7 linked regions of the Callithrix jacchus genome follow. The protein of the gene in region 2 interacts with the protein of the main gene of each other region in a biochemical or structural test. Links are inferred from orthologs where the notes say so. Each region holds a gene or a part of one and is shown on either strand. Other genes may lie near its edges.

Evidence for each region.
Region 1: the proteins of DLG4 (region 2) and ADRB1 form a complex in vitro, tested with the Homo sapiens proteins (2 studies listed by BioGRID and IntAct, with this or other methods). The link is inferred for Callithrix jacchus from reciprocal best matches to the Homo sapiens genes DLG4 and ADRB1.
Region 3: the proteins of DLG4 (region 2) and LRP2 form a complex in vitro, tested with the Homo sapiens proteins (2 studies listed by BioGRID and IntAct, with this or other methods). The link is inferred for Callithrix jacchus from reciprocal best matches to the Homo sapiens genes DLG4 and LRP2.
Region 4: the proteins of DLG4 (region 2) and KCNA1 form a complex in vitro, tested with the Homo sapiens proteins (3 studies listed by BioGRID and IntAct, with this or other methods). The link is inferred for Callithrix jacchus from reciprocal best matches to the Homo sapiens genes DLG4 and KCNA1.
Region 5: the proteins of DLG4 (region 2) and KCNA4 form a complex in vitro, tested with the Homo sapiens proteins (8 studies listed by BioGRID and IntAct, with this or other methods). The link is inferred for Callithrix jacchus from reciprocal best matches to the Homo sapiens genes DLG4 and KCNA4.
Region 6: the proteins of DLG4 (region 2) and KCNA5 form a complex in vitro, tested with the Homo sapiens proteins (2 studies listed by BioGRID and IntAct, with this or other methods). The link is inferred for Callithrix jacchus from reciprocal best matches to the Homo sapiens genes DLG4 and KCNA5.
Region 7: the proteins of DLG4 (region 2) and GUCY1A2 interact in a test that uses a peptide from one of them, tested with the Homo sapiens proteins (2 studies listed by IntAct, with this or other methods). The link is inferred for Callithrix jacchus from reciprocal best matches to the Homo sapiens genes DLG4 and GUCY1A2.

What each region holds. Positions count from the first base shown.
Region 1 is NC_133513.1:106,982,711-106,987,105, reverse strand, and holds the start of ADRB1 (beta-1 adrenergic receptor), read right to left. Parts: upstream 2,936-4,395; 5' UTR 2,667-2,935; coding exon 1,239-2,666; 3' UTR 1-1,238. UniProt on the Homo sapiens protein: Beta-adrenergic receptors mediate the catecholamine-induced activation of adenylate cyclase through the action of G proteins. This receptor binds epinephrine and norepinephrine with approximately equal affinity.
Region 2 is NC_133506.1:73,680,581-73,683,440, forward strand, and holds the end of DLG4 (disks large homolog 4), read right to left. Parts: intron 2,782-2,860; coding exon 2,672-2,781; intron 2,088-2,671; coding exon 1,996-2,087; intron 1,490-1,995; coding exon 1,383-1,489; 3' UTR 569-1,382; downstream 1-568. UniProt on the Homo sapiens protein: Postsynaptic scaffolding protein that plays a critical role in synaptogenesis and synaptic plasticity by providing a platform for the postsynaptic clustering of crucial synaptic proteins.
Region 3 is NC_133507.1:60,176,958-60,181,123, forward strand, and holds the start of LRP2 (low-density lipoprotein receptor-related protein 2), read left to right. Parts: upstream 1-1,322; 5' UTR 1,323-1,344; coding exon 1,345-1,432; intron 1,433-4,166. UniProt on the Homo sapiens protein: Multiligand endocytic receptor. Acts together with CUBN to mediate endocytosis of high-density lipoproteins. Mediates receptor-mediated uptake of polybasic drugs such as aprotinin, aminoglycosides and polymyxin B.
Region 4 is NC_133510.1:18,518,662-18,523,036, forward strand, and holds the start of KCNA1 (potassium voltage-gated channel subfamily A member 1), read left to right. Parts: upstream 1-1,453; 5' UTR 1,454-2,022; intron 2,023-2,389; 5' UTR 2,390-2,927; coding exon 2,928-4,375. UniProt on the Homo sapiens protein: Voltage-gated potassium channel that mediates transmembrane potassium transport in excitable membranes, primarily in the brain and the central nervous system, but also in the kidney.
Region 5 is NC_133511.1:95,334,491-95,338,883, forward strand, and holds the start of KCNA4 (potassium voltage-gated channel subfamily A member 4), read right to left. Parts: upstream 2,874-4,393; 5' UTR 2,466-2,873; intron 2,343-2,465; exon of another isoform or gene 2,245-2,342; intron 1-2,244. UniProt on the Homo sapiens protein: Voltage-gated potassium channel that mediates transmembrane potassium transport in excitable membranes. Forms tetrameric potassium-selective channels through which potassium ions pass in accordance with their electrochemical gradient.
Region 6 is NC_133510.1:18,649,563-18,653,906, forward strand, and holds KCNA5 (potassium voltage-gated channel subfamily A member 5), read left to right. Parts: upstream 1-1,396; 5' UTR 1,397-1,512; coding exon 1,513-3,321; 3' UTR 3,322-4,124; downstream 4,125-4,344. UniProt on the Homo sapiens protein: Voltage-gated potassium channel that mediates transmembrane potassium transport in excitable membranes. Forms tetrameric potassium-selective channels through which potassium ions pass in accordance with their electrochemical gradient.
Region 7 is NC_133511.1:6,897,802-6,902,179, forward strand, and holds the start of GUCY1A2 (guanylate cyclase soluble subunit alpha-2), read right to left. Parts: upstream 2,833-4,378; 5' UTR 2,366-2,832; coding exon 2,072-2,365; intron 1-2,071. UniProt on the Homo sapiens protein: Has guanylyl cyclase on binding to the beta-1 subunit. Isoform 2 acts as a negative regulator of guanylyl cyclase activity as it forms non-functional heterodimers with the beta subunits.

The sequences.
Region 1 (4,395 bases), on a different chromosome or scaffold from region 2:
TAGTTGCACCAGAGTATAAATACTTGGTAAAACACACAAGAGGAAATAGAATTTACACACAAGTGCTAACTTTCACCAGCAAATTCACGTGGGCACTTGGACATAAAAAAAATAAAAAATCCTTAAGATAATTATATTTATAATATGGATACAGTTACAGTACCATGATAAAGGAGTATAAAAAGGTATTTTCCCAATAAATCATTAGCTCTATAACATACTAGACAACAGAAGTAGAGCTTGAATTTTATTTTAGTTTTTAAGATCTGCCCACCACTTCCCCAGTTAAAAAATATTTAACTTCTTTTTGTGCAAGTAATGTTTTCTGTGGAATTTGTAATTCCTAACACTGTGCAAAAATGGCATTTTGAACCACTCCTTTTTTTGTTTTTGTTTTTATCCACATGTGCAGTAATCAAAACTGTCTCTCTCTCTCTTTTCATGTCCTGTCTTAAATTGACAAGAGTCACATGTCACAGAGAGAGGCTCTGCGCCTGGTCCTTCCAACTAGTATTGATACATAAATAAGCTGTTTAATATAAACAAGTCTTTCTATCTGCTGTGCAAATGCACAGTGTGAGGTAGAAATCCCGTAGCCTGACCATCCAGGCGCGCGGGGGATCAGAGGGTTTGCCCTACACAAGGAAAGCAAATTGGGGCTTGTTCCAAGAAGAGCTTAACATTTCTTGAAACGTGATTTTTTTTTTTTTTTTGCATCCATCCTTTTCGCTTTCATAACAGCGGAAACCATTACTTAGGAATTAAAATGAAATTTCTCTGGAAAGCAAAAGGAAATAAATATGCCTTGATAAACTGTCATTCTCCTCTCTCTGGCTGGTAGACTGCCCCTGTTCCTGGGACAGGGTCGGGAGCCAGGTTGATCGGATTTTAATCCCCTCCTAATGCTTCTTCTCCCTTCCCCTGCCCACCCAGCTTCCACTCCCATCCTCGTGGAGTCAAAAACCACCTGGGGGGAAAAATCTAAAGATGCATCACAGGCACACACAAAAGAAGGCCGGACCACAAACAGAAGAAGAAGGAAAACAACCCAAGGAACATCAGCAAGCCACTCTCCCACCCCTCCCCAAACTTTCCTTTTTGTGCAACGGTCCGTGGCTTTTCTGTTTGCCTTGGATGATTCAGACGAGGTTTGTGGGCTTCGAGTTCACCTGCTTTCGGTCTTGAGTAAACACAGATCTCCGAGATCCCCCGGGAAGCCGTTCCGGGGCGCCGGGCCCCTACACCTTGGATTCCGAGGCGAAGCCGGGGCGGCACGGCTCGTCCAGGCTCGAGTCGCTGTCCGCCGCCGCCCCGCCGTTGCAGCCGGCCCAGGGCTCCAGCAGGCGCGCGGGCGGCGTGGCCCCGACGACATCGTCGTCGTCGTCGTCCGACGCGGCCCCGGGCGACGGCGGAGGACCGGGCCGGGCCAGGCAGCCCGAGGCGCGCGGCCGGTCCCCGTGGGCCGCGTGGCGCCGGCTGGCGGCCCTGCGCGCGCAGCGGAGCAGGCGCTGGAAGGCCTTGCGGAAGTCCGGGCTGCGGCAGTATATGATGGGGTTGAAGGCCGAGTTGGCGTAGCCCAGCCAGTTGAAGAAGACGAAGAGGCGATCAGGCACCAGCTCGCGGTGGAAGGCCTTCACCACGTTGGCCAGGAAGAAGGGCAGCCAGCAGAGCGTGAACACTCCCATGATGATGCCCAGCGTCTTGAGCGCCTTCTGCTCGCGCAGGGCCACGAGGCGCGAGGGCCGCCGCTTGCCCGCGCGCCCGTTGGCCAGGGGGGCGGCGGCGGCGGCGGCGTTGGGGCGCGGGGGTCCTGGCGCTGACGGCGGCGCGGGCGCGGGGGCGGGTGAGGGCGGCCGCTCCGGGCCGCCGAGGAACCGGCGCTCGCAGCTGTCGATCTTCTTCACCTGCTTCTGGGCCTCGCGGAACACCCGCAGGTACACGAAGGCCATGATGCATAGGGGCACGTAGAAGGAGACCACGGACGAGGCGATGGCGTAGGCCCGGTTGGTGACGAAGTCGCAGCACTTGGGGTCGTTGTAGCAGCGGCGCGCCTCGTCGCTCTCCGCCCGCCACCAGTGCATGAGGATGGGCAAGAAGGACACCAGCGCCGAGATGGCCCACACGGTGCACACGAGGCCCCTTGCCCGCGCGCGCGTCAGCAGGCTCTGGTAGCGGAAGGGCGACGTGATGGCGAGGTAGCGGTCCAGGGCGATGACACACAGGGTCTCGATGCTGGCCGTCACGCACAGCACGTCTACCGAGGTCCACAGCTCGCAGAAGAAGGAGCCGTACTCCCAGCCGCCCCACACCACGATGGTGGCCCCGAACGGCACCACCAGCAGCCCCATGACCAGGTCGGCGCTGGCCAAGGACATGATGAAGAGGTTGGTGAGCGTCTGCAGCCGCGGCGTCTTGGCGATGGCCACAATCACCAGCACGTTGCCCGCCACGATGAGCAGCACGATAAGCGCCATCAGCAGGCCCATACCCGCCGTCCACTGCTGCGACAGCGGCTCGAGGCCTTCGCTGGCGGGAGGCAGCAGCGAGGCGGGCGGCGACGCGGGCACCAGCAACCGCGCCGCAGTGGCCGCGCCGTCGGGGAGCGGCGCAGCCGACGACAGGTTGGCGGGATCGGAGGCGCCCAGGACGAGCGCCCCCGCGCCCATGCCGAGCTGCGGAGGCCGGGGGCGGTGGGTGTGGCGGGGCTGGGCAGTGGCTAGGGAACACCCCAGGAGCCCGGGCGGCGGGGTGCGCCGAGGGAGGTCGCGGCCGGGTCAGGACAGCCACGGCGCGGGGCCGGAGGCATGGGCGCCGGGCGCCTTTCCCGCCGGATCCGAGCGCTGTCGCTGTCGCCGCCGCCGCCGCCGCCGCTGCCGCTGCTGGAAGAGCCGCCGGGACCTCAGCATGTTTCTGAGCGCGCCGGGCCCGCAGCTCCGGCACCCAGCACCCACCCCACCCCGCTCCCACCTCCCCAAGCCAACCCCCGGGGCCTCGCGTCAGGTTCCTGTAGCCAATCGGGGCAAAGGCACGCCCCCGTCGGGTCTGCCCCCCCCAACTCCCCGCACCCCACTCCAGTTGGCAATTGAGCCGCTCCTGAGAGTCCGGAGCTGATCGCGGAGCTAGTGCCTCCCGTGCGGCCCGCGGGTTCCTGCGGACGCGCCCCTTCCTGCGCCCGCTGGTTCCAGGTCCCTGTTCCGCGCACCCCCTCCCGCGCCCGGCTCCCCCGAGGGGCCCCGCCCCCTCCCGCGGCCCCCAAGTGCTCCCGCAGCCGCTGCTGCGCCCCGTTTGCCTCCCGCGCCAGGCTCCCTCCTGCGCCCCTGCTTCCCCAGCATCCCCTCGACCTGCAGTCCTGGGGGTTCCCTGCGGCAGAGAGCGCTCGCTCCTTGGAGCGAGGAGGGGACCTTGGTGTTCTGGAAGCGCCAGAGCGCCTGGGACTGCTTGCCCGCCGGGCATGAAGGAGTTTGCCCTGCGAGCTTGGTTGTGGCATGGGGCAGCCTAGCAGGGTGTGTGTAAAACCCTTCCCCCGTCAAGAGGCGACCCAGCCAGCCTGTGTCGTGACAGCTTGGGGGATCAGAGGTGGGTGTTAGTGGTTAGAGGAAACTTCCCAGCAGAGCGGGTTGCTGGAGCCAAGGGCGCATCTGTTCAGAATGCTCTCTGGGCGCTGTTCTTGCAGGGATCTTCTGTTGAACCTCAAGTGCAGTGGAAGTGGAAAGGATGCGAAGGTTTGTGCATCTAACAGCTAACGCTGAGGACCCGCTGGCATCGTATTCACTCCTCAGTCCCAGCTAATGAATGTGTGAGCAAGATGCAACGGTGTGTGCTCATGATAAAGGGAGAGGCTTAGGGAGACAGAAACGTTGAGATACAGAGCAAACGGTACGACTGCGAGGGGAAAAAAAACATGCTTAATTACATTTTAGACTTGTCAGTGATAACACCTGTATTTTGTGTTTTATTACTCTTGTGATTTTGTAATTTGAGCTAGGTCAGTACCAACACAAAGGTACTGTCAGTTTCGGCTGACGTCATGAACTACCATTTCAGATTCCTTGGTCTGCTGCTTGTTTTCTCCTTTTCCCAAGTTCCCAGATTCTCAAAACTCTGGGATTAGTTTTGGAGGGATGAGACAAGAACACATATAAATACTCCAGAGGATTAAAATCCGAAAGCATTTAAAGTTGTATCTGTGTTTTTTTGAGTTGGCAAATGAATCGCTTTGAAATGAGTGAGTTGTTAACCTGGCGAAATGGATTATATTGGGGTGGGGGCACAGCCATGAATATTCAGTGCGGCAGGACTGCAAGCCCCTTCTCTCATTTGGCCCCTGTAGTGTCCTCAGTTCAGGCTCGAAAAACAAAATATCTTTAATTGGGTCCTTGAGAAGTAAACAGCTTC
Region 2 (2,860 bases):
GCTGAGGCAGGAGAATCGCTTGGACCCGGGAGGCGGAGGTTGCAGTGAGCCGAGATCATGCCACTGCACTCCAGCCTAGGCAACAGGACAAGACTCCATCTCAAAAAAAAAGAGAGAGGGCATAAAGAAACCCAATGTATATTCACACAGCATTTCTTATCGGCAAACCTCTGTAAAGATCATTCCCAGAGCCTCGCTCTGTCCACAACTCCATGAACATGAATGAAGAAAGTTTCCTCTCTATTTTCCTTTAGGGACTGTTGTGCTACCCAACAGGACTGAGACAGCCCAGGGGGGATCAGAGCTGGACGAAGTTTGCAGGGTCCCTTACGAGTTCCAGCCTCCTCTTTCTGACCTGTCATGACTTTGGACAGAGCTCCAGCCCTTCACAGGCCATCCTCACCAACTCTAGTTCCTTGATATGCCAGTTACCTCCATGGCCCGTTTTTCAGGCCACTCTAACTGCTCTGGTTTGGAGGGAAGAAGGATCTGACTCTACCTGACCCATCCATCCCTGTGCCCATCTCCCTCCACACCCAGGTCCCAAATAACCAGGCCACACACCGAGTTTCAAGTATCTGTCTCTTCCTTTCACTCTCTCAAAAGAAAAAATAAATAAATTGCAGAAGGCGGCAGCATTTCCAGTCTTCTCTGGCTCCCGGACACCCGACCCCTGACCCCTGCCCCCCACCCCCCCTCCCACATTTCCCACTCCCTAGACCCATCCCTCCCTTTTCCCCAAAACAAAAATCCCAGGAAAAAAAAAAGCCACATTTAAACCTTCCACTCATGCAAACCGGCAAAGAAAAAAGGTGGGGGACGTGTGGAAGGCAGGGGGCCCGCCTCAGAGTCCCCTGCTTCTCCCCCCAAAAACCACCTTTAAGAAGAAAAAAAGTGGAAAAAATAAATGAGAAATCAAGGGACATGGGAATTACGATGAGGGCAGGGGTGACCTCAGACCCTGCCTCGGGAGAGAGCGGAGGCCTGTGGCCCTGCATCCCTGCTGCGGGTGCTCCTCGAGAGGGCCCTGACTTCTGGAATGTGTGTGGGAGAAGATGGGGGAGGGCAGGTGGCCCCCGGTGGGTCTGTGTGTGCATTGGGGGCGGGTGGGGGGTGGGAGTCCTAAGGAGCAAAGGCTCGGAACCAGGAGCCCAGCTCCCCCCCAGACCCCAGGTTCCTGGTGTTTAAGAGCCCAGTTCTGGGGTGCAGGGATACATGCAGAGGAGTGTCCCCCCTCCAATAGGCTGGATCCAGTTAGAAAGGAAATAAATAAGAAGGGGTGGGAGGGAGGCCGGGGGGAGCCAAGGGCTTGGGCGATTCAGTCCAGACCAAGGGCCCAGGAGATGGAGGCAGGGCGAGTCCAGGCCAAGCCAGGGCAGGAATCAGAGTCTCTCTCGGGCTGGAACCCAGATGTAGGGGCCTGAGAGGTCCTCGATGACACGCTTCACCTTGTGGTAGATCTCCTCAAAGCTGTCACCCTCCACGATGGCTGGGAGTAGGGTGGAGCAGGGAGTGAGGCCAAGGGTCAGAAGATGCCTGGCCAAGGAAGTAGCAGCCCAGAGGAAGGGGCACCTCTTTCTAATTCTCCAAGCCATGAGTCATAGGGCTGCACCCGCCAACTGGGGCACCTCTTTTTTTTTTTTTTTTGAGATGGTGTTTCACTCTTGTCGCCCAGGCTAAAGTGCAGTGGCGCAATCTCAGCTTACTGCAACCTCCACCTCCCAGGTTCAAGTTATCCTGCCTTGGCCTCCTGAATAGCTGGGATTATAGGCACCCACAACCACACCCAGCTACTTTTTGTATTTGTTGGCCAGGCTGGTCTTGAACTCCTAACCTTACGTTATACACCCACCTTGGCCTCCCGAAGTGCTGGGATTACAGGCGTGAGCCACCGCATCTGCCCACAGGGGCGCACCTCTTTTTTTCTAAACCATCCACTGGGATTGAGGGGGGAGTGCTTTCTAATCCGAGCAAAGGTGCCCTACGTAGCCTCACCTGAGAAGCACTCTGTGAACTCCTGCTCCAGCTTGGTGGCTCTGTCGAAGGCTTTACGGGCTTGCTCCTCTGTGATCCGCTTATTAATCTCTCTGTGAAGCGGGAGGGAGCGCAGGCCTGAGACTGGGCCCACCTGACCCTGACTTTCACCTCCTCTATCCAGGAATGTTAAGTTGCAACTAGTATTCTCCTATTTGGAGCACACAGCAAAAAAAAAAAAAAAAAAAAAAAAATACAATTCCCAATATCCTCTGGGACCACAGATGAGCCCCCACCCACAACCACCCCAGCCAGGTGTGGCTACTCCAGGGCCATCTCCCAAGCTTCATCCTTCCAGCCTTCAGCCCCAGAGATGGGATTCCGACTCCAACTCCCAACAGCCCTGAAGGCCCTGGCTTGCCCCAGCTGGTGTGCCCCAGGGGCTGCTGGGAGATGTAGTCCTGTCTAGCCCCAGGCAGGAAAGGAAGGGAAAGGCACGATTGCCCGAATCCTCTGGGTTCCAGGTCTCCTGGATTCCAGGTGCTCATGGATCCCTGGGTTCCAGGGATCCCCACCTCAGGGGCTGCTGGGACCGCTGTCCAGGGTTCTGAAGGGAGAGTTTCACCGCAGAGGCCTTGTGAGGCCCAGGGCCACAAATGTGGGGGAGCAGAGGGGAGGCCCCCAGGACCATACTCACAGCACATTCTCCAGGGAGCGGGGGCGGATGAAGATGGCGATGGGGTGCAGGTGGGCCGCCTGCAGCCGCCGCACGGCATTGGCCGAGACATCGAGGATGCAGTGCTTCCCCTGGGGGCAGGCAGGGTGGGCGGAGGGGGGCCAGCGGGTGGCAGGAAAGGACAGACAGCAGTGTTGGAGAGACACAGGA
Region 3 (4,166 bases), on a different chromosome or scaffold from region 2:
TAAGCAGGAAAGCTGCCTTTCTAAAGTCTCTCTTGTCATTTATTTCTCATGAATGTCCATTTTCTTTCTTAATGTCTGATTCTATGCAACCATCTTCCAGTAATTTATATTGTTAATCAAAAAGCCGTATAGGAATTCTCTGGGAGATTGGGACTGGAAATCCACTGTTCAATGGGATGATTTATAGGTTTTGCACAGGGTGTGTTAAATCACCAGGTGCTGAAGGGCATGCTATTCTTTTAAGTAGTTTGATTCATTGGGTCTTTATTCACCTGGGCAGGCAGGCCATCTTCATTTTTCTTCTGTTTGGATAGTGTTCTTTCTCAGCATCCTATAAGTGTAGCTCTTTTGGCATGAAAGATGTAAATAACCAGTTAGTCCCTAGTCGGGATGGGGACAGAGAAGAAGGTCTTGGGTTTAGTTTCCTTCCATATGTAGAGATAGTCCCTCTCCAGGAACCTCATTGACTTAGCTGATAGAGAAAGCACTGCGTGAGCTATTCAGGCGGAGCACAGAGAAGACTGATACAAATGCAGTTTCAGTGCTTTGATGCTGGCTGATAGGAAGTTTTCCTTGCTCAGCATTCTTGGTAAAAACTTGGAGATTCTTTTGAATGTTTGGGGGCCTAAGTGATTGTCAATTTATATTTTTATTTTTTGTGAGTGTATGTGGTGAGGTGGGGAGGACATCGGAAGAAATTATTTTTTTGCTTTGATAATGAAGATGGATGGGAAAAGTTTGCACTATAAAGCAGATGTGTTTATGACTGTTCTTCTTAGCCACAATCCTTTACATTAATGATGAACTACTTGAGGATTTCAGATGCTTGTGTTTTTCAAGTGTGATCCCCTCCCCTTGAAGGGGTAGATCTGTGGACGTGCAATGGAATGGAGCATTCCAGGATGAAACAGGCCTTCCTGGAACTTAGATTCTTTATCACACTCCCCAGGGGAGTTAATTTCAAGTTGCTGCAGCTGCAGGGTGAAATTGCCCAATCTTAGGTGCTCTTATTGATGGGTGGGAGGGAGTGAGATTGCTTAAGAAATTTTATTATCTTTAGAATCGAAGAATTTATTATGTTTTTTTTTTTAAGATGATCTCTTTCAGGTAGGCTAAGATAATTTTGAGCTCTGACTGTCCAAGCTGCTTAGAGGTTCTGAGTTGTTCTCCACTGGGGGTGGTGCTGCCACTCTCAAGCGGTGTCTGGACGTGCATGGGAGTGTTTTTGTTGTCATGGTGATGGGGGGAGGGCAATACTGGTGTTCCACAAATGGGAGCCAGGGATGACGTACATACTGCTTTGCCCAGGACATCTCTGCAAGGTGAGTAATTTTCCTATCCTAAATGCCAATAGTGTCCTCTGAAGAACCTCCGAGAAATGTGGCTTTGCTTATAATGCTCTTTAGTGCTGATGGACTGCCTGATTGTAGAGGTGAGAGGTGCATAATGAAAAAACAAGCGGGATGTAAGAGCCTTGGGGGCAGGGGATAAAGACTGGTGACTAGTGTTTAAATGGAAACGGAGAAGGGTAGTTCAGTTATAAACAGCTCAGTTTAAATCTCTCATTGCTCAGAATTGAGAGGCTCCTCAAGTAGTGTATCTCATTCTGCTGGCATTTGGTTATTGGAAAGGCACTTTATTTCAATTACTAAGCAATTATTTAAGTAATCTTTGAGATCAACTATGTTGAGAGCTGACTGGATTCTGTGGGCTGGATACTCAGACACGGCCAGCTTGGAGAGGATGGTGGGGGATGGTCACTAGGATGCTGGCGATGCCCTAAGGTGGCGGTCCCCAACCTTTTGGGCACAAGGGACTGATTTCATGGAAGACAATTTTTCCATGGAGAGTGGGGTGGTGGTGAGGGAGGGATAGCTTCAGGATAAAACAGTTTTACCTCAGATCATCAGGCATTAGATTCTTCTAAGGAATGCGCAACCTAGATCCCTCTCATGTGCAGTAGGGTTTGTGCTCCTTTGAAAAGCTAATGCAGCCACTGATTTGACAGGAGGCAAGCTCAGGTGATAATGCTCGCTTACCTGCCTCTCACCTGCTGCTGTGTAGCCTGGATCCTAACAGGCCATGGACCATTACCGGGCTGTAGCCCTGGGTCTGGGGACCCCTGCCTCATGAAACCTGTTGGTAGTTTGCCATGCAAATAGGGCTGGCAAGGATCAGCCTGGGGCAGCTGGAGGGGCTGCAGGGTGTTACCATTCTCTGCTAGCAGCCTCTTGGTGAAGCACCTACCAGCCTGCTCACTGGACTCATGGTTGCGGCGAGGTTCTGGGGATTGAAGTGGAGCTTCAAGCTCTTCTCATTGTCAAAGTCTATATGCTAGTTCAGGCTTTACCTACCCAGAGCGATCTTCGCTTTTAACTCAGTTACTGCCTGAGTAGTCACCCTCACACTCTTTCGCTTGGCATTCAAAGCTCTTTTTTCTCCATCTTCCCAGCCTTGTTGCCTACTGCTCTCCAAGAGGTTCCCACTGCTTGGGTCATACTTATTAGATCCTCACCCATGCTAAGTTTCTGTCAAGTTGTTTTTTTTCTTAGAGACAGGTTTCGCCATGTTGGCCAGGCTGAACTCCTGGTCTCAAGTGATCTGCCCCCCTCGACCTCCCAAAGTGCTGGGATTACAGGCATGTGTCATCACGCCTGGCCTGTCAAGTTGTTTTGACCCTACACACAAAGCCTGGTCTCCCTCTTCACTTCCCCAAATCCTGCTCATTCACAAAGACCCAGTGTAGTCTTATAATTCTTCATGAAGACTTCTCTGATGACACCAGCCTGCAGTGTTATTTCCCCCACCAAGGCCAGTTGGTTTTTATTATCTCCATTGTTATTTGGAACCAAATTGTCTATTGTCATGTGATATAGGTTTGGAGTCAGACTGCCTCAGTGTAAATATGTGCTCCACTACCTACTAGCTGTGAGACTTGGTCAAGCCTTATTGTCTTGTCTATGAAATCGGGCCATTAATACCATTTCAGAAGGCTGTTGTGAGGGTGAGTAACGTAATTCATGGGAAACAATTAAAATACTGCTGGCAAGTCTGGGTGAACAAATGCTGTCATTTTCTTTGCAGGACGTGGAATGATAAAATAGGTACAGGCTCTGGAGTCACACAGACTTTGGGGCTAAATCAGACTTTGACATTTGCTACCTTCGTGGCCCTGAGGGAATTGGTTAATGTCACTGAGGCTCAGATTCTCTTCCATTAAATAAGTATAAATCTCACATCATCCAGTTCAAAGAAGATCCATCCAGTGAATATGTATAAAGCTTTACATATTGTCTACATAGTAGGTGCTCAATAATTAACAGCAATTGTTATTGCATGGATATTTAATTTATAACATAAATCACTTTTGCCCCCAATAAACTTATAGGTTCTGTCAAAACAGACCATATCTTATTTTTCTTTTTTCTTCCACTGATCCTAGGATAACTGCACATAGTAGTTATAAATTCATTTGTGGCTTTAGTGAATCTGGCATCATATTCTTTTGGCCCTTATTTATTTATTTAGCACTTAAAATCTGTGTCTACATGATAATGCATCAACTTGCATTGTAGGTTTTGTCCTCAAATCTTTGACTTCTTGAAATGTCCTTATAGTATTGTTTTGTTCTAAGAAAACATCAGGGCTCTGAAACAATAATTTGGACGAAGTAGTCTATTCAATGGTTTATAAACTGGATTAGGAAAAAAAAAAAGAATTCCTGTCACCTATTTGGTGATCTGTAAGGAAAACCAGGCAGTTAAAATGTTGCACAGAAAGAGAATAGTAGGTTGGTTTGCTGTTCATGGCTTGTTTCAGTTTCATTAACTGAATCCTTGACTATTCCATCAATTTGACACTAGACAGGGTAGGGTGCTTTACATAATTTGTCACCCTTGGCCGTCATCACTATAGTGTAAAGTTTTAGAAATAAGCAGATAACCCTGAATCTTCAAAAGGAGACTGGCCTTGTTTATGTGGGCAAGGTATGGGAATTGCAGTGAACTGTCAGCCAACTTACGAATATCAGGAGTTTGTCTATCAATACCAAAGGAATCAAAATTAAGTAGAGAAAAAGTGAAGCAAAAATTATGGATAAGGAATTGCCTTTTAAATTTGTTTTTCTTTGAGTTTAGTGAAGGTGGGACTATTAAAATATGATTTAG
Region 4 (4,375 bases), on a different chromosome or scaffold from region 2:
ATTTATTTGCACTAGAGCAGCAGTGCAGAAAGGTAGGGATCCTTGGAGCTGTTGAGATTGAGGGATATGCCTGTGGAAGGTGGAAAAGGGGCCGAGTTTAATATGGGAAGGAGGAGTATAGGAGAAGTGATTGTTCATGAAAGAAAAGCTGGGGTATGGATCTGAAGGAGGGGAGGGAACATACACTTTTGTTTTTCTGAAAGGAATGCTGGCGTCTGAATCTGGAGGAAGGATTTAACTAGTTCCAGACAGGGACTGTTGCACTGCCCGGGCAATCCCGCAGAGGCCCCGGCTTTCCCCTAGCCACAACAGAGCGGGGAGGATGCAATCATTGGCTTTGATTAAGGAGGTGGGTGGTGTAGGCGGGAGGCCACGCGAATCGCGGTGGTGAGAAGGGTGGTCTCAAGGCCGCGGGAGAAGCCAATCAGCTGCGACTCTGGGCTCTTGCAGCCTTCTTAGAGACTCCGCAGCCCTGGAAGTACCAAGCTGCCTGCTGCCTTTTCTCTCGCTGCAAGCGCGGAGACGCAGCGCCTCTGGGGGCGCAGCTCCAGCCGCACTCATAGGGCACGGCGCACGCCCCCGGCTCCTGCTGCCATGCGCCTCTGCGGGGGACCCTTTCCGAATAAATTGCAAGCTTTGAAAGTGGCCCAGTGGAGGCACTAGGCTGGGGAAAGAGGCTGCGGGAGGAGGGACAGAGGGTGGGAGGTGAGTAGGCGACTTGCTTCTCAGATTATTCCCAATTAGCACCAAGTTGGCAGACAACCCCACAAACCCACGAGGCCTTTGGTCCCCCACAAGTCACATTCTCTGTATTTCAGAATAATCGGTTCGTAAGAAAACTTCAAGTCCCATCGTAGGTTAAAGAGGGACAGGCTCTTAGCACCGCCGCCGCCCAGTAAAACTACATGGAAAGAACCCGTGGATCCTCAACTGCTGGGCTCTGCCCAAAGTCTGCAGCTCTGCGAGTCCAGCCGGCGGGGGGAGGCTGGGTGGACCCCGCAGAGAGCAAGGGCCTCCTTGAGGAAAGAGCGGGATGGGGCGCAGAGCAGTGCGATCGAAGAGGGTTACTGTGGGACTGCACAAAAGCAAACCCATCGGAGGAGTTTTGCCAGAAACACCACCTCCTGCATTGCGTCGGACCTGACCATTTCCAATGTGAAATTCCCGGGGAAGGTCGCGCGCCGCTAGCGGCAGTGCGTGGGCGGGGCAGGGCGGTGGGTCACAGGGGAAGTAGAGTTAGTGGTCGACTTTTCTGGTAGGAGAGGAAGAAGCTGTGCTGGCGAGGGTGGGAACTGAATGACAACCCCGCTCTCTTGCAAACCACCCCCTCATATTTTCCATCCACCTCCTCGCTCCTGCCCTCCCCCGCCCTCCCCAACCCACGCCCGGGTGGGCCAATCGCTGCTCCGTATTCCAGGCGCTTTCTCAGGTTTCTGCTGATCTTGCAGCGCCCAGAAATGGACAGAGCGGACCCGCCGCCGCAGGCACTCTGCCCGACTCCAAGCTCCTAAGGGCTCCCCGCGCGCCGCGTAGCCTCGGCGAGGTCCTCGCAGGGGTGCAGAGAGCGAAGGGAACTGGAGAGCCATGTAGATCCAGGCTCCTACCCGCCCGCCTCCTTCGGGATCGAATCAAGGGCTCGCATAGTGTTAGGAGGGGGCGAGAGTGCTGTTTATCGTCATTTGCCTCGGAGCTTCGGGAGAGGGTGGTATTTTGCTTTTCCGCCCTGCATCCTCCGGAACTCCCTGCACTGGAGAGAGGACGGCGTCTCCAGGTTGCTGGCAACCAGTGAGAATGGGGGTAGGAAATGAACATTTTCGCCGTTGCTGCTCCGTAACGCGATTGTCCAACTGAGAGGGGCGTCGGACGAGCGGACCAGGGAGGCTAGTTTGCCCGGCGCGTCTCGGATGCTGGCTGTGGTGACCGCCGGGGCTCCCGCCAGGGCACTGCAAAGGCGACCTGCCGCATTCCCAAGCCGGCTCTCCGCGGACGCAGCACCGCCCCTGCGCCAAGCCTGCTGGCCAGGTAGGGGGTTCCCCAGCTCCGGGCCGCAGAAGCGGGGGTTGGGGCGCGGGGTTGGGGAGGCCGGGGGTGTGGGGATGCTGCCCGGGACCCGGAGCTTCCCCCGGTGTCTCTGGGCGCTTTTCCGATCTCTAGTTTAACGAAGTTGTAAACAGATCGGCTGTTGGGCATTGGGGAATGTGGGATGGAAGAGCCCCAAACTTGGATTTCCGGGTGTCTGCGTGTCTGTCTGTCCGTGTGTGTGTGATAACCCTAGCAAACGTCCAGTGCTTTCTCAAGCTAGAGGTCTGTGTTCTTCGGTGTCTGTAGGTCCGTCCCATCGGAATGCTTCTGATTTTCTACCCCCGTATCACTTTCTATTTCTCTGCAGCGTCCATCGATCGCCCTGGTGGGAGCTTAGAAGGCGGCAGGCGAAGAGGGGTAGGAGGGGGGAGAGCCGAGGAGAAGCAGAGAGGGTGGCAGGCGTGGGGATCTGCTGAGCCGGCACTGCACCGGGTCCTAGGAAGGCTCTCGGAGGGGAGGGGAGGCCAGGGCGACCCCCGAAGCGATGGCCCGGTCCGCTAGAACAGCACTGCGTTAAGGCTCCTCGGATCAGTAAAAATTATCTTAAAAAAGAAAGAAAAGAAAAAAGCCAACCCCAACCCAAATCCAACCCTCGGCAAAAAGCTGCACCGGCCAGCAGGCAAGGGGGATTCCAAATTGAGTGAAAAGCAGGGTGGAGGGGAAAGCAGCGCGAGGCGAAGTCGCATATCTCCCGAACTGCTCGCTTTGAATCCCCTCCCCCTGGGCGTGAGGGAGACTCGCACTCCGGTGGGGGGGCCGCTTGGGTCCCCCCCACCTCCGGCTCCTGGCTCTTTCCCACCCCGGGCTCTCTCCTGGCCTCCCACCCCCCGCGCCCGACTTCCACCATGACGGTGATGTCTGGGGAGAACGTGGACGAGGCTTCGGCCGCCCCGGGCCACCCCCAGGATGGCAGCTACCCCCGGCAGGCGGACCACGACGACCATGAGTGCTGCGAGCGCGTGGTTATCAACATCTCCGGGCTGCGCTTCGAGACGCAGCTCAAGACCCTGACGCAGTTCCCCAACACGCTGCTGGGCAACCCTAAGAAACGCATGCGCTACTTCGACCCCCTGAGGAACGAGTACTTCTTCGACCGCAACCGGCCCAGCTTCGACGCCATCCTCTACTACTACCAGTCGGGGGGCCGCCTGCGGAGACCGGTCAACGTGCCCCTGGACATGTTCTCCGAGGAGATCAAGTTTTACGAGTTGGGCGAGGAGGCCATGGAGAAGTTCCGGGAGGACGAGGGCTTCATCAAGGAGGAGGAGCGCCCTCTGCCCGAGAAGGAGTACCAGCGCCAGGTGTGGCTGCTCTTCGAGTACCCAGAGAGCTCGGGGCCCGCCAGGGTCATCGCCATCGTCTCTGTCATGGTCATCCTCATCTCCATCGTCATCTTTTGTCTGGAGACGCTCCCCGAGCTGAAGGATGACAAGGACTTCACGGGCACCGTCCACCGCATCGACAACACCACGGTCATCTACAATTCCAACATCTTCACGGACCCGTTCTTCATTGTGGAAACCCTGTGCATCATCTGGTTCTCCTTCGAGCTGGTGGTGCGCTTCTTTGCCTGCCCCAGCAAGACGGACTTCTTCAAAAACATCATGAACTTCATCGACATTGTGGCCATCATTCCTTATTTCATCACCCTAGGCACCGAGATAGCTGAGCAGGAAGGAAACCAGAAGGGCGAGCAGGCCACGTCGCTGGCCATCCTCAGGGTCATCCGCTTGGTAAGGGTTTTTAGAATCTTCAAGCTCTCCCGCCACTCTAAGGGCCTCCAGATCTTGGGCCAGACCCTCAAAGCTAGTATGAGAGAGCTAGGGCTGCTCATCTTTTTTCTCTTCATCGGGGTCATCCTGTTTTCTAGTGCAGTGTACTTTGCCGAGGCGGAAGAAGCTGAGTCGCACTTCTCCAGTATCCCCGATGCTTTCTGGTGGGCGGTGGTGTCCATGACCACTGTAGGATACGGTGACATGTACCCTGTGACAATTGGAGGCAAGATCGTGGGCTCCTTGTGTGCCATCGCTGGTGTGCTGACAATTGCCCTGCCCGTACCTGTCATTGTGTCCAATTTCAACTATTTCTACCACCGAGAAACTGAGGGGGAAGAGCAGGCTCAGTTGCTCCACGTCAGTTCCCCTAACTTAGCCTCTGACAGTGACCTCAGTCGCCGCAGTTCCTCTACTATGAGCAAGTCTGAGTACATGGAGATCGAAGAGGATATGAATAATAGCATAGCCCATTATAGACAGGTCAATATCCGAACTGGCAATTGCACCACAGCTAACCA
Region 5 (4,393 bases), on a different chromosome or scaffold from region 2:
TGAATGGCAATGAAACACTGGCAGTTATGAATAACATGACAGTAACCTATGTTTTTATTGTCTATCTACACAGTCCCAAATGTTTGTGTCCTTAGGCCACTAAAGTAAGGGAAGATGGAATGTGAGGACATACAGGACATCTTGAGACTCACCAATGGCCTGTGTTAACTTGGCACTGCCTGACTCCCTGTAGCATGTCCCCATTGTTTTTCTGTCCCCCTTAATCCTGAACACCCCATACCACCCACAGACTAGGAACTAATGCCAGTTTCCACTTCCCTAATAATCATTTTCTCTCCTTGTGGTCGCCCCATGTTCACCTCAGTGGTTCCTCCTACACTCTGCTCAAGGGACTATCTCCTTAGTTTTTAAATTTCAGCTTGTGTGGACTTCATTCTTAGCCTATAATACACCCCCACCTTCACTTCAATAAATCCACATCCCCAACATCCCCCTCCTCTCTCCGTCTCTCTCTCTTTGCCCACTTTTATTTACAATCTTCCACTTCCTAATCACATGTCCCTTGCAGCTCTGATCTGCTCCCTCTGTCACCTGGTCCTTCTTCTTCCTTAGTTTGTTCTCCCAAGATCCAGGTAATTCATCTCCTCAGCCAAGTCCTGTAAAAGCCGCCATCCAAATCTCCTATCTCCTCTTGACTTTTCCATGTACTCTGTTCAACAAGACTTCCAAGAATGCAGGGAGTAACCCAGAGAACTGGAGAGAATGATGATAGCCAGAATTCAGGGCATCTACCAGCTTCTATTACTGGAAGCACTTGGAAAGCATAAGAGAAATGGCTTTTTGAAGCCATTAACAGGATTCAGCTCTTGACCACCTGCTGCTTCTTGCTGATCCTGTCAGCCTAGCAGCCTAAACACACTGAATTTCACGAAGTGACAAGCATAGAAGTGGCAAACAGAAGTCTTCCCAATCATATACCCCTTCCCAATCATACTCAATTTCCTAGGCAAGAAGGGCATTTTGATTGTGACACAAACCCCAGAAAATACACCACTGAGGGCATCTCACATGCTAGCTCCCTTCCTTGGCCTGACTGCTAACATCTCATACGCTGAAATGTTTACCCTCAAGGAGTCTCTAAATCTCTGCTTACAAAACCATCCTGGGGTGATATTCACTGTGGAGTGTCAGGCCAACATCCTTTCAAGACTTGCACAGACCAGATAGCTTGAGAGTTTGCTCAGTTTCTTCCCCAGCTCCCCCAAAATGATCATTTCAATGAAGCCCCAGTGTAGCCCAAGTTCCTGTATACCTGAGTACTACACATACCTGCCCTCCCACCCAACTGACTCCCAGAAGGTCATGAATTAGAGAGTCTTCTAATTCACCATCATCTCTTCGGGAGATCTAGAACTGCCCTCTTTCTGCTCTACACCAAATAATTTCACATTTATTTTATTTATTTGGGATTTATTTATTTATTTATTTGGGATTATTAGTTTTTGTTTATCTAACTCCCTCCTCCACCAGACAAATAGCAAATTGCCTTCTTTTTATTGTCTATTAGTTACTTCACTATCTCTGATTTAGAAAGAAAGAGGGAGAGAAAGAAGAGAAAAGAAAAATCATTCCTCCAGCAAACCAGACTGGTTTTAAAATCTCTCTTCTTTCTCAAGGTACTCCTGTTAAGAGAGTCTATTCAAGTCAATTCCCAGGAGCCTTTATGAGAGTGATCTTTGCAGAGGAATTTGTCTTCTTCTTTAACACCATTAAACTAACAGGATTTTGCAGACTACCTATTCCCTAATTCCGGCGCACCCCCCCCAAACAACAGCCAAACATCCCGCCCCTCCTCCTCTCACCGCCCCCCACCCCCAACAACAAGGCTGTCCGTCTCTCAGTGCCAATTCCTGCAACTGTGTCAGGGTGGTACCTGAACCTTATCTGAGAGACAGAGACAGAGAGAGAAACTGAGACAGAGAGAGAGAGAGGGAATCAGAAAAGCCAACACCGTGAGAAATATACACTTCAACGCACGCCATTTATGCAGCCCCTATGTATGTTGCTCAAATGCTCGGAAAATGCACGCGAATCCAAACATTGGGAAAGGCAGCAATTCAGACCCGTTCACCAGCTGTTCCCAAAGGAAGGGAACCGGTGAGGATCGGAGGAGGCGAAACGATGCTAAATCTTAACCCTCTCGTTGGGAAACGACATCTTTAATCGCGCCCTCGCCTCCAGACCTCAGTTCCCGCTCCAGCACATTAGCCAGGGCGCACTCACCGCATCCCCAGGGTTGGGAAAATAACAACTGTTGGCCCCCCGGAGCGCCGCGCAGCATCCGCACCTCCCTTCTCCCACCTCCTGGTTTATTTTTAACCGCCTTCCATTCATGCCCTTCTGTCACATTCCCGATATTATTTATCCCTCAGAGGTCCACTGTTTCTTAACAGCCAAAAGAAGAGGGCGGAGGAAGGGTTTTTTTGAAAAGGTATCATACTTACCGTTCCCCGGCGGGGCGAAAAATAAAAATAAAGAAAATCCACCGGCTGGCTTGTTTTTCCCCCTCAAGCTGCAACAGCTGGAGGAGGGGAAGAATGATCTTGGAGTGTTAAAGGGAATCACTCGGGTTTGGCAGGTGGAGGCTCCAAATATCCACGGAACAAGTTCTGTTGCCTGGCCCGGCGGGGGGCACAGAGTCCTCGCGGCTGGAGCCTGGGGGTGGGGGTCGGGGCTGCCCCAGAGAAGACCCCAAGACTCCTGGTTCCTCTGGAGTTCAGTACAGGAGGGATTGCCTGGGAAAGGAAGTCAAGGTTCCCCCGAAAAGAAGCAAAATCCTAGACAGCAGTGATCACTTGTTAAGCCCGAATTGCTCCTCCAACATCCATCCCTCTCTCGCTCTCGCTGGCTGCGGGAGCAGCACACGCCTCCCCTGGCCGCGAACGCGCGCCGGGCGGGGGCGGGGCCAGGGCCGAGCCGAGGGTGTGGCGTTCGCGACGGTCGCCAGGGGCGCCTCCAGGAGCGGCGGGGAGGGCGCAGTCACGACGCCGCGACTCCCCGCACTCTGGCCGGGCCCCCAGACTCCCAGGATCCGGGATCGATTCCAGGAGTCTTTGGCTGCGGTCCCCAGAGGAGAGGAGCAAATCCTGGAGAAGTGTCCCTTTTGGGGCCGGAATGGGGGTTTCGACGGCAGCGCGGGAGTCCCCAGAGGGCCTGGGAGCGGGGAGCTCCCCGGGAGGTGCAGTCCTGAAAATGGGGTCCTTTGGGACATCTTCTCCACTCCCTAACTTGCTTTCTCCAGATCTCCCCTCGAGCCTCGTCCTCTTCTCCACACCCCACCCCCTCCCAAAGCGGGTTTGTCGGGTTGGGAGCCCGGGGCACCTCCGGCGAGGTTGCAGGCGGGGAGCCCTCCTGTGCCTGCCAGCGCGCCCAGATCCCCCAGTCTCCGCCTTCCCTGCACACAGGAGTTGAGTGGCTTCAGGGTCGGGGTTGGGCCTCCGGGGTGCGGAGGAGACCGACTTTCAACCTGTATTCCACCCCGGGTAGGGGAATGTTACGAAATTGGAATCAGGCCCAGGCTAGGGGCTGTGCAAGGGAAGCAGCAGTCCTACGGGAAGAGGGTTGGAGAGATGAATGAGTTCCAGGGTGGGCCCGGGGCTGGGGGCTTTGGAAAGCGGGGAAGAGCCCGCAGATAACCTGTTGCTGCAAAAAGAAATACGGCTCTGGTACCGACCGAGGGCTCTTTGGATCCCTCAGGATAGAAATCAAGGAGATCTTAGCAGAAAGCAAGTTTCTTTGGTTTTCTTTCTTTTAATTAAATCTTGCGCGCACAAGGGAGCTAACACCAAGAAAAAAAAGTGGGCTGCTCCTCGAAGTCAGGGTATGGGTTTCTTTTACGGGCCTCTCCCATAAGGGGACATAGGGGAACTATGGACAGAGCATATAGAGGTGGAGATTTTCTGGTGCACTTCTTCATAGAACCTATGTATCATTCGCATTTTAAATCTCCACCTCTGAGCGTGAATTTTTGCATTAAAATAAGGAAAAGGTCACTGAGTTGAAAGTTAAACCTAGCTGCAAGCCGGGACCTCGGGCAAGTCCTTGGTCCCCTAAAGCAGGAACGTCTGGTTAAAAACTTCTTGGGCCTTTCATGCGGACTGGCTGAAGTTTCTATCTGAGGAAGGGTTTCTCCTTGTTTCTTGCTTATTTCTTTGGACCACATTAAAACGGTAAAGTAGACAGCTCGCCTGTCTGAGGCCTGCCAGAATCAAGCAGGCTAGAGGTTTGGCTCCGGGAAGTCTCTGTCTTATGCTTATTATTATTATTTTGTCTTTTTGTTCTTTTCCTTTTTTGTGGAGAATGGGGTTTAAGCGTGCTCCACAGGGCCCAGCAGCCCGAGGATCTCTATCTTAGTGATCTTTCCCACTGCCCA
Region 6 (4,344 bases), on a different chromosome or scaffold from region 2:
TGCCTCTTGCAGCAGGGAACTAAAGTTCTCAGGCCAGATGTCAGAGTGAGGAGGGCTTGTATCAGAAAAGGGCATTATGCATTTCTGAAGAGGGATGAAGTATAGGGGATGAGGGCCAAACTCTGAATTTGAGTTCCAGCGTCATCACTTTCTACCCGCATGAGCCTGGGTGAGTCTGTCAATTTCTTTGTGCCTCAGTTTCTTCGTTTATAAAATGGTGATGATGATAGTATTTACAAAATAGGTTGCTGTAGGAATACCCAGAGACATTATTTTAAAGTGCTGAGAACGGGCTGGTGCATAATAAGAGCCAAGTAAGTACTGGTTGTTATTATTCCACTCTTGGGAATTCTCCAGCCTTGGAGATTGCAGTATCTCCCTGGCTCCCTCTCATACACCACCTCCACCCTCAGCCCCCTTCATGGACCTTGATGCAGTTGCTAGCTCCAAGGTTCACCAGACAGGATCGGCCCTCACCAGAATTGTAAAAATCTCTCCCCTCCTGCCCTGTTGTGGCTTTTGCAAATGGAATTCGTTGCAGGGGGTGGAAGGGTTCTGCTGGTTTGAGACCAGACAGCTCATCTCTTGACTAGGCTGCCTGCCTGGGCTGCCACTGGGTCCATACTAGAAACAGGGCAGGGTATGGGGACGCTGCAAGGTTCCAACCCCGTCATACCTTTTTGTGGATCTGTAGGAAGACGGGAAGAGAGGTGCTTCTCCATTGATAATATGTATTTCAAGGTCCGTAACTACTCCACGCCCCCTCCCGTCTGCAATTCTTCCCAAAGAAACACCGTTATCTCTCCAGAGTAAAAAGGACTGTTGTCTCCCGTCTCTGTCTCTCGTACTCCGACTCAGCTCAAAGCCTGTCCTTTTAACCCAAGGCACTTCGTTCCTTCTGGAGTCCACTCGGCTTCCAGCGGGTTCCCAGGTGAAACTGAAATCCAGAGCTATTCTCATCTGGTTGCCCTGGGAATTTCGGCGCTCTCGGTACAACCTGTTCCTCCATCCTCCCCACTCCTTCCCTCCCTCCGCGGGGCTGCACCCTTCTCGGCCCCTCCTTTCCCTTGCTAGGGGCCCCAGCTGCGCCCTCCCGGGAGACACTCGGTGCCACGAGACCAGGCTGGGGAAGCGGGCGGGGGGGGGGGGGGGAGGCGGGGGGGAGGGGAAGCGGGAGGAGGGGGAGGCGGGGGAGGAGGCGGGGGAGGCGCCCAGGGTGGAGGCCAAGCGCGGCGCAGCCAAAGAGGGGCGGCTGAAGGTTGCATCTGCTGGAAGGAGGCTTTTCGGCTGCTTGGTAACCGGCTGCCAGAAGAGAGAGAGAGGCAGAGAGCAGGGCAGCGGCTTCTTGACGTCAGGACCAAGCGAGGGGATCGCGCCAGCAACCCCAGCTCGCCCCAGAGAGGGGGCCGGCCAACCGCGAGAGCGGAGCCCGAAGCGAGGCGCCAGCGGAGCGTGAGTAGGGGGCGCGGGAGCCGGTCAGCTGGGGCGCAGCATGCCCCCTGCCCCCGCGCCATGGAGATCGCCCTGGTGCCCCTGGAGAACGGCGGGGCCATGACGGTCAGAGGAGGCGATGAGGCCCGGGCAGGCTTCGGCCAGGCCACAGGGGGAGAGCTCCAGTGTCCCCCGACGGCTGGGCTCAGCGATGGGCCCAAGGAGCCGGCGCCAAGGGGACGCGGCGCGCAGAGAGGCGCTGATCCGGGAGCGCGGCCGTTGCCTCGGCTGCCCGAGGAGCCGCCACAGCCTCGGCGGCCGCCTCCGGAGGACGAAGAGGAAGAAGGCGACCCCGGCCTGGGCGCGGAGGAGGAACAGACTCCGGGCGCTGCGGCTCTGCACCACCAGCGCGTCCACATCAACATCTCCGGGCTGCGCTTCGAGACGCAGCTGGGCACCCTGGCGCAGTTCCCCAACACCCTCCTGGGGGACCCCGCCAAGCGCCTGCGCTACTTCGACCCCCTGAGGAACGAGTACTTCTTCGACCGCAACCGGCCCAGCTTCGATGGCATCCTGTACTACTACCAGTCGGGGGGCCGCCTGCGGAGGCCGGTCAACGTCTCACTGGACGTGTTCGCGGACGAGATCCGCTTCTACCAGCTGGGGGACGAGGCCATGGAGCGCTTCCGCGAGGATGAGGGCTTCATTAAAGAAGAGGAGAAGCCCCTGCCTCGCAACGAGTTCCAGCGCCAGGTGTGGCTTATCTTCGAGTATCCGGAGAGCTCTGGGTCCGCGCGGGCCATCGCCATCGTCTCGGTCTTGGTCATCCTCATCTCCATCATCACCTTCTGCTTGGAGACCCTGCCCGAGTTCAGGGATGAACGCGAGCTGCTCCGCCACCCACCGGCGCCCCACCAGCCTCCCGCGCCCGCCTCTGGGGCCAACGGCAGTGGGGTTGTGGGTCAGCCCTCTGGCCCCACAGTGGCACCACTCCTGCCCAGGACCCTGGCCGACCCGTTCTTCATCGTGGAGACCACGTGCGTCATCTGGTTCACCTTCGAGCTGCTCGTGCGCTTCTTCGCTTGCCCTAGTAAGGCAGGGTTCTCCCGGAACATCATGAACATCATCGACGTGGTGGCCATCTTCCCCTACTTCATCACCCTGGGCACCGAGCTGGCAGAGCAGCAGCCGGGGGGCGGAGGAGGCGGCCAGAATGGGCAGCAGGCCATGTCCCTGGCCATCCTCAGAGTCATCCGCCTGGTCCGGGTGTTCCGCATCTTCAAGCTCTCCCGCCACTCCAAGGGGCTGCAGATCTTGGGCAAGACCTTGCAGGCCTCCATGAGGGAGCTGGGGCTGCTCATCTTCTTCCTCTTCATCGGGGTCATCCTATTCTCCAGTGCCGTCTACTTCGCGGAGGCTGACAACCAGGGGACCCACTTCTCCAGCATCCCTGATGCCTTCTGGTGGGCAGTGGTCACCATGACCACTGTGGGCTACGGGGACATGAGGCCCATCACTGTGGGGGGCAAGATCGTGGGCTCGCTGTGTGCCATCGCCGGGGTCCTCACCATCGCCCTACCTGTGCCCGTCATCGTCTCTAACTTCAACTACTTCTACCACCGGGAGACGGACCACGAGGAGCCGGCAGTCCTTAAGGAAGAGCAGGGCATTCAGAGCCAGGGGCCGGGGCTGGACAGAGGAGTCCAGCGGAAGGTCAGCGGGAGCAGGGGATCCTTCTGCAAGGCTGGGGTGACCCTGGAGAATGCAGACAACGCCCAAAGGGGCAGCTGTCCCCTGGAGAAGTGTAACGTCAAGGCCAAGAGCAACGTGGACTTGCGGAGGTCCCTGTATGCCCTCTGCCTGGATGCCAGCCGGGAAACAGATTTGTAAATGGAGATTCAGGCAGACTGGTGGCAGTGGGGTAGGGAATGGGAGGCTTGCTGAACATGGGTATCTACATTACACCGCAGAGTATTGGAAGCCACACTGTAACCTCAGTCTACCCTCTCCTTTCACTTCTCTCCTTCCTCCCTTCCTCCCTCCCTCCATCCCCCCATTTTCCCTCTTCTTTCCATGACACCCAAGGGTCGCCTATTTTTAAAAAGTACCACGTTCCATGACGCAGGAGCTGTTGAAATGGCGAGTGCTGTGAGATGGATGTATTTGTAGCCTATACCCAGCAGAGGGATAACCCAAACAAAAATGACTCTAAATAGCCCAGATCCCAAGAGATTATGTAACCCCTCCATCCATGTGTTCCAAGTTTGCTTTACATATGATTATATTTGAGTATAGGGGAAAATATTATTTTTATGGCTGGTAAGTGGCTTTTTGTACTGTAGTTCAGATAGAGATATTTTGGATATGCTTTCAAGATACATGTTGTATTTACGGAAGAGAGAGTTGACCTGATGTTTCTCTGTGATACTTATATTTGAGCCAGAGATCTTGGTATGAGCTGTTCTGGTTCTTGTGTGTCCAAGCCTCTGATTTTTCTGGGATGTGGTATTGGTGCTTTGTGTCTAGGGCAGAGAATGTTCTGGAGGAAAGGCAAATCTGACTTTTTCTGTGCGCCTTAAACAACTCTTGTAACTTTCTTCAAAAAGCATTTTAATGATATTGGAGGAATACTTCTGATAATTTATTCTCTTTATTTGTATCCCAGGAAATAAAAGGTTACTTTGTTGAGGCAAGTGTTAGTTTTTCTGCAGCTGATACAGTTCTGAAATTTAAAAACAGTCTGTCACTGGCTGTTTCTGGTTTTGAAATCAGAGCAAACGCATTGACTGGGGTCAGAGGAAACTTGGGAAGCTCATGATTCGCTCGGCGACATCTTTCCAATGCACCCCTTGGTGCCTCATAGACAATGGTGGGTGAACTGCTTTCCAGGCTGTTTATGGCATGGACGCCCCT
Region 7 (4,378 bases), on a different chromosome or scaffold from region 2:
AGAGGCATTGCCATTACTTTTTAGAAATTTGTAAATTCTAATTCTTAGTTAAAAAAAAATCACTCCAAGGTTATATCAACAATTCTCCCCAAACTAATCACAAACTCATCATTATATTTAGCAAAATCATTTCATTAAATAAGAATCTGTTGTACTGAATAACTATCACATTGCACAAATGTTGCTTTAGGTACTGACAAAAGCCTACAGATGCTCGGGGTCACTGGACTCCTGTTATAAAGACTTATATTCAACAATTTGCCACACCAAATAATTCATAAAATTACATTGCCTGGGAAATATTGGCAGGTAAGAACAGCAAAAAGAAACCCAACCTATCCTGAGGATTGTTTTCTAGGTTATCAATAAAGAAAAAGTGGCAGAAAGATATATCAAATAGGAAAATACACAAGAAGAGCAAGATGACTTTCTCAATGTGTTCCTAATGACTAAATTAGTTCAAAATAAGTAACATAATAAGTAATTTATATATCTTAAATAAGGTCTCATAAAAGAAAAACATCATTCTCCATTAATGCAAGTGCCACAAGAATATTTGAAGAACTGCCCGGTACCAGTACTCAGTCCCCTCAGGGTCCCACTCCTTCTTCGGTCCCTCCCACCATCAACTGCAGTAGTAACCTCAAAAGAGAGACTCAACAGTAATCAAACAAGATCAATGTTCAGATTCATTCTGGAAACTCTGAATGTAAAAGTCCTAGGGGCGAGTAGGTAAAAGTGCTGTCAGGAAGAGTTAAAGCTCTTGTATCCAAGGTCAGGGTGAGGATAAAAGATGAGACTGAGGAAGATTGACACTGAGTCCTTTTCAAATTCTGTCTGCAGTAGAATGCATTCCTTCAAAACAGAGCTCACCCAGACAGGGAAAAACTGGACCAGAGGTCTGGCATTCCAGCAAGAGGTAAAAGCCAAGGGTAGCTGAAATGCCTGGGTGGGAATGAGGCAGGAGTACTCTCGAAGGATGCCTACGACCAGGGGGAGTTTGGTGCACACCTGAACCTGCTAATACAGACATCCCGAGATGAGCACAAGTTGGAGAGGTCTAGGAAGGCATTTATTCTCTCCGTAAATATTCAGGAAGAGCCTAGTATAAAGAATCCATCAAAAAATGAGAGAGAAAGCACTAGGGAATCCATTGAAGAGATGGTAAAGGATGAGGTACAGGTGCAAGAAGTATAGCGCAGTTTAAATAGCTCATGCAGGTGTGGCTTCGTACCTAGGAGACGGGTTGGTAGGTGTAGCAAACCACCACGGCACACATTTTGTGCCTATGTAACAAACCTGCACATCCTGCACATGGATCCTGGGACTTAAAATTAAATTAAAGTTTAAAAAAAGAGGAGAAGAAAACCAGACACCAGTTTTATCCAGAAAAGAATAAATGCTTAGCGGATAAGTAAAAAAGAAAAAAGAAAAAAAAATAGCTATGGGGTTGGGAGAACTCGAGAATTGAGATTCCTTCATCAGAAGGCAACTCAGAAAAGTATCTGGCAAAACGTGTCTGAAGATCTGAGGAAAAGGATGTAACACAGAATGCAGATAGCCTGTGGGATTCCGAGATGTCAAGGAAGGTCACGCTGAGACCAAGAGAGTGTGGGAAATAAGGAGAGGAAGGGTTTCCTGGAAGGGGTTGGGGCTCCTTTGGGATGCTCGAGAACAGGATGAAAGACAGGGGATCCGAACTGTAGAACACAGTGCCTGGGAAAGTTTGGGGGACAGAAAACAGGTGGGTGTGAAGCAGCACTGGGGCTGTCCAGGGGGAACAGTGGGAAAGCGGGGTTCAAGGCTGGAGGTGGGCAGACGGGCCCCCGAATCAGGAGACCCCAAAGGAGTGGAATCTTACTTCTCACCGCTCTAGTCTCCACTTCCACCCTAGCCTAGGAGAGCTGCTGCAGCCCAGAGCCGCTGGAACCCGGGGCCGGGCGGGGTGGGGGGAGGCCGGGCCGCCCCCAAGCGGTCGGGCTCTGCACTCGCGCCCGGCTCACCCGGCGCCAACTTTACGGATCCGTGTCCTCTCCCAAGAAGGCAGTCCCCCCTTCCGGCCCCTGCTCACCGAGGGCGCTGTCAGGCGGCTGATGCTCTCGCCCAGCGAGTCCAGGTTAACCCGCCTCCGGCGCTGCACCCTCCTGGCCCCGGCCGTGGCGGCGGCGGCGGCGGCAGAAGCGGCCGGGGCTGGGGCGGCGGCGGCGGCGGCGGCCGCGCTGGGCTCGGGCGGCCCGGGCGGGCTCCGGCTGCCGTTCCAGCAGAGCCTGGACAGGGGGCACTCCCCCTCCTCCTCCGGGCTCGTCTCCAGGTAGTCGGACCCCAAGGAGCTGAAGGATTCGGACGAAATCTTCCTCCGAGACATGCTGCGGGCGGCGCTGCAACGGCCGAGGCGGCGGCGGGGACACGGGCGGCGGCGGTGGCGGGACCCGCCGGGGGCAGCGTTACGCGCGTCGGAGCCCCGGGGCGCTGTGGTCGCGCTCGGCGGGGAGGGAGCCCCCGGGGCCGCGGAGCCCCCCAAGCCAGCTGCTCATGGCGGGAACTTGGGGTGCTCCCGCACCTTGGGGCCCGGGCTCGGCGGCAGCGCCGCGCTGGGCTGGGGGCCGCCGCCGCCTCTGCTGCTGCTCAAGCGGCGCCGCTCAGCGCCCGCCTCGGCGCATCGCCGTGCACCGCGCTCCCGCTCCCGGGGAGGCTCCAAGTGTGTGACCGCGGCCGGCGGGGCGGGGAGGGCTGCGGCCCAGGCAGACGGGGAGGCAGAGGCTGGTGCCGCCTGCGCGCCTCGCTCGCCCCCTTTCCCTCACTGCTCCCGCCCCTCTCCTCCCGCCTCTCTCCACTTGCCCGCCTCCCTCCTTCTCCCTTTATCTCCCGCCCCCCCATGCTCTCCCTCCGCCACTATCACGTGTCGCCATCATACTCATTGGGAGTCTCTGCCTCGCCTGTCGCCACGTTTCAGGAGCAACGAGGACACTTGGTCGCTGTCCTCTGCGCGCCCTCCCTGCTCCGAGGAGGTGCGCACAGCAGCTTGGTTCGGACGGAGGGACCGCAATCCCCAGACGCCTTATCCTGGGCCCTGAGGAATACACCGGCTCTGGCGGCGCTGGTGGAGAGAAGGGTTCGGGGATGGGGGGGACAGGCCTCCCCCTAGGGCCACCTCGGGGAAGCCTGACAGTGTGAAGTGCAGGTTAGGGTTCATGCTGTCCTTTCTCCGAGTTTATTTAGGAAGTTACAAGGCGAAAGGGAAAGGCCAAGCGTGCAGCCAGCCCATTCCAGAGGAGACGCTTACACGGGAAGGGAAGGACGGGGGCAACATGTTGGCGCCCATGCTGCTGGAGCAGCTCCTGGAGACTTGCGTTCACCGCCTCTTGCGAGGCCGCGTGGGCGCAGAGCGAGCCCAGAACGGGGCGGCAGCGAGGACAGCGTCTGCTCTGGCGAGAGCGCCGTGGCTGAGCCTCAGCCTGGTGCTGTGCGCGGGGCTCGCGGCTGCGCCGGCCCCTCACTAGTGCTGGACAGCTCCGCTTGCCCCCTCCAGCCGTTTGCAGGCGTGGAGAAGTGGAGAACAGTTCCTCCTCAAACCGTCTAGCACCTGGCCCGGGGAAACCGGGGAACGATCCCACATCCATCATCCTCAGGGCTCTTTGCACCGAATATGCGATCTGTTTGCACTTGACTGCAAACGCTGCTCAGAAAGCTAAGAGGAGTCGGGATAAAGGCTTCGCGCAGCCGGAGAACTGACTCGCCACAGCGCAGGCATCTCGTCGCGCGCTTTCAGCTGTGCGGCTTCATTCCAAAGCTTCTCTTTGCAAACCAGTCCTTCCAGCGCCTGACCCCACTGTACCTTGCCTTAGTCCCAGAAAAGCCTCATACTGGTTCTGAGGATAGAATAAAGGATGGGAAGAAGGGGCAAATGACAGCATCCCCAAAGAGGGGTCCCAGGCTGTACTTCCCCCTGCAATAAAGTAGATTAAAGTAGATAAGCACCCTCCCCAGCTCCCCCCATCAGCGTAGAGAAAAGTTCAGGGTCTCTGGCTTTAGCTCCCCAGTGAATCTGAAGCCAAAGCATTTTTTCCAAAGAACGGGTCCTTTCATGTGAAGACAGATGGGTTTGTGTGGACTGTGTGTGTTTAAAAATCAAAACAAAACCATAAAACCTGTGCTGTAACCCCACCCAAATTTGCTTTTAACTCTAAATATTCCCACGTGTTTGTGAGGGTTTAGATATAAACGCTATTTGAGGTTTCATTTGGAAAAATCCACTCAGACTGGTTCACAGACATACCTTTTTTCCAGATCTTAAATGGGCTTTAAAGACAGAAAAGCATGTACTATCACTCAGACACTCCCCCTTTGAATTATACATAAATGTAAATACATATACATT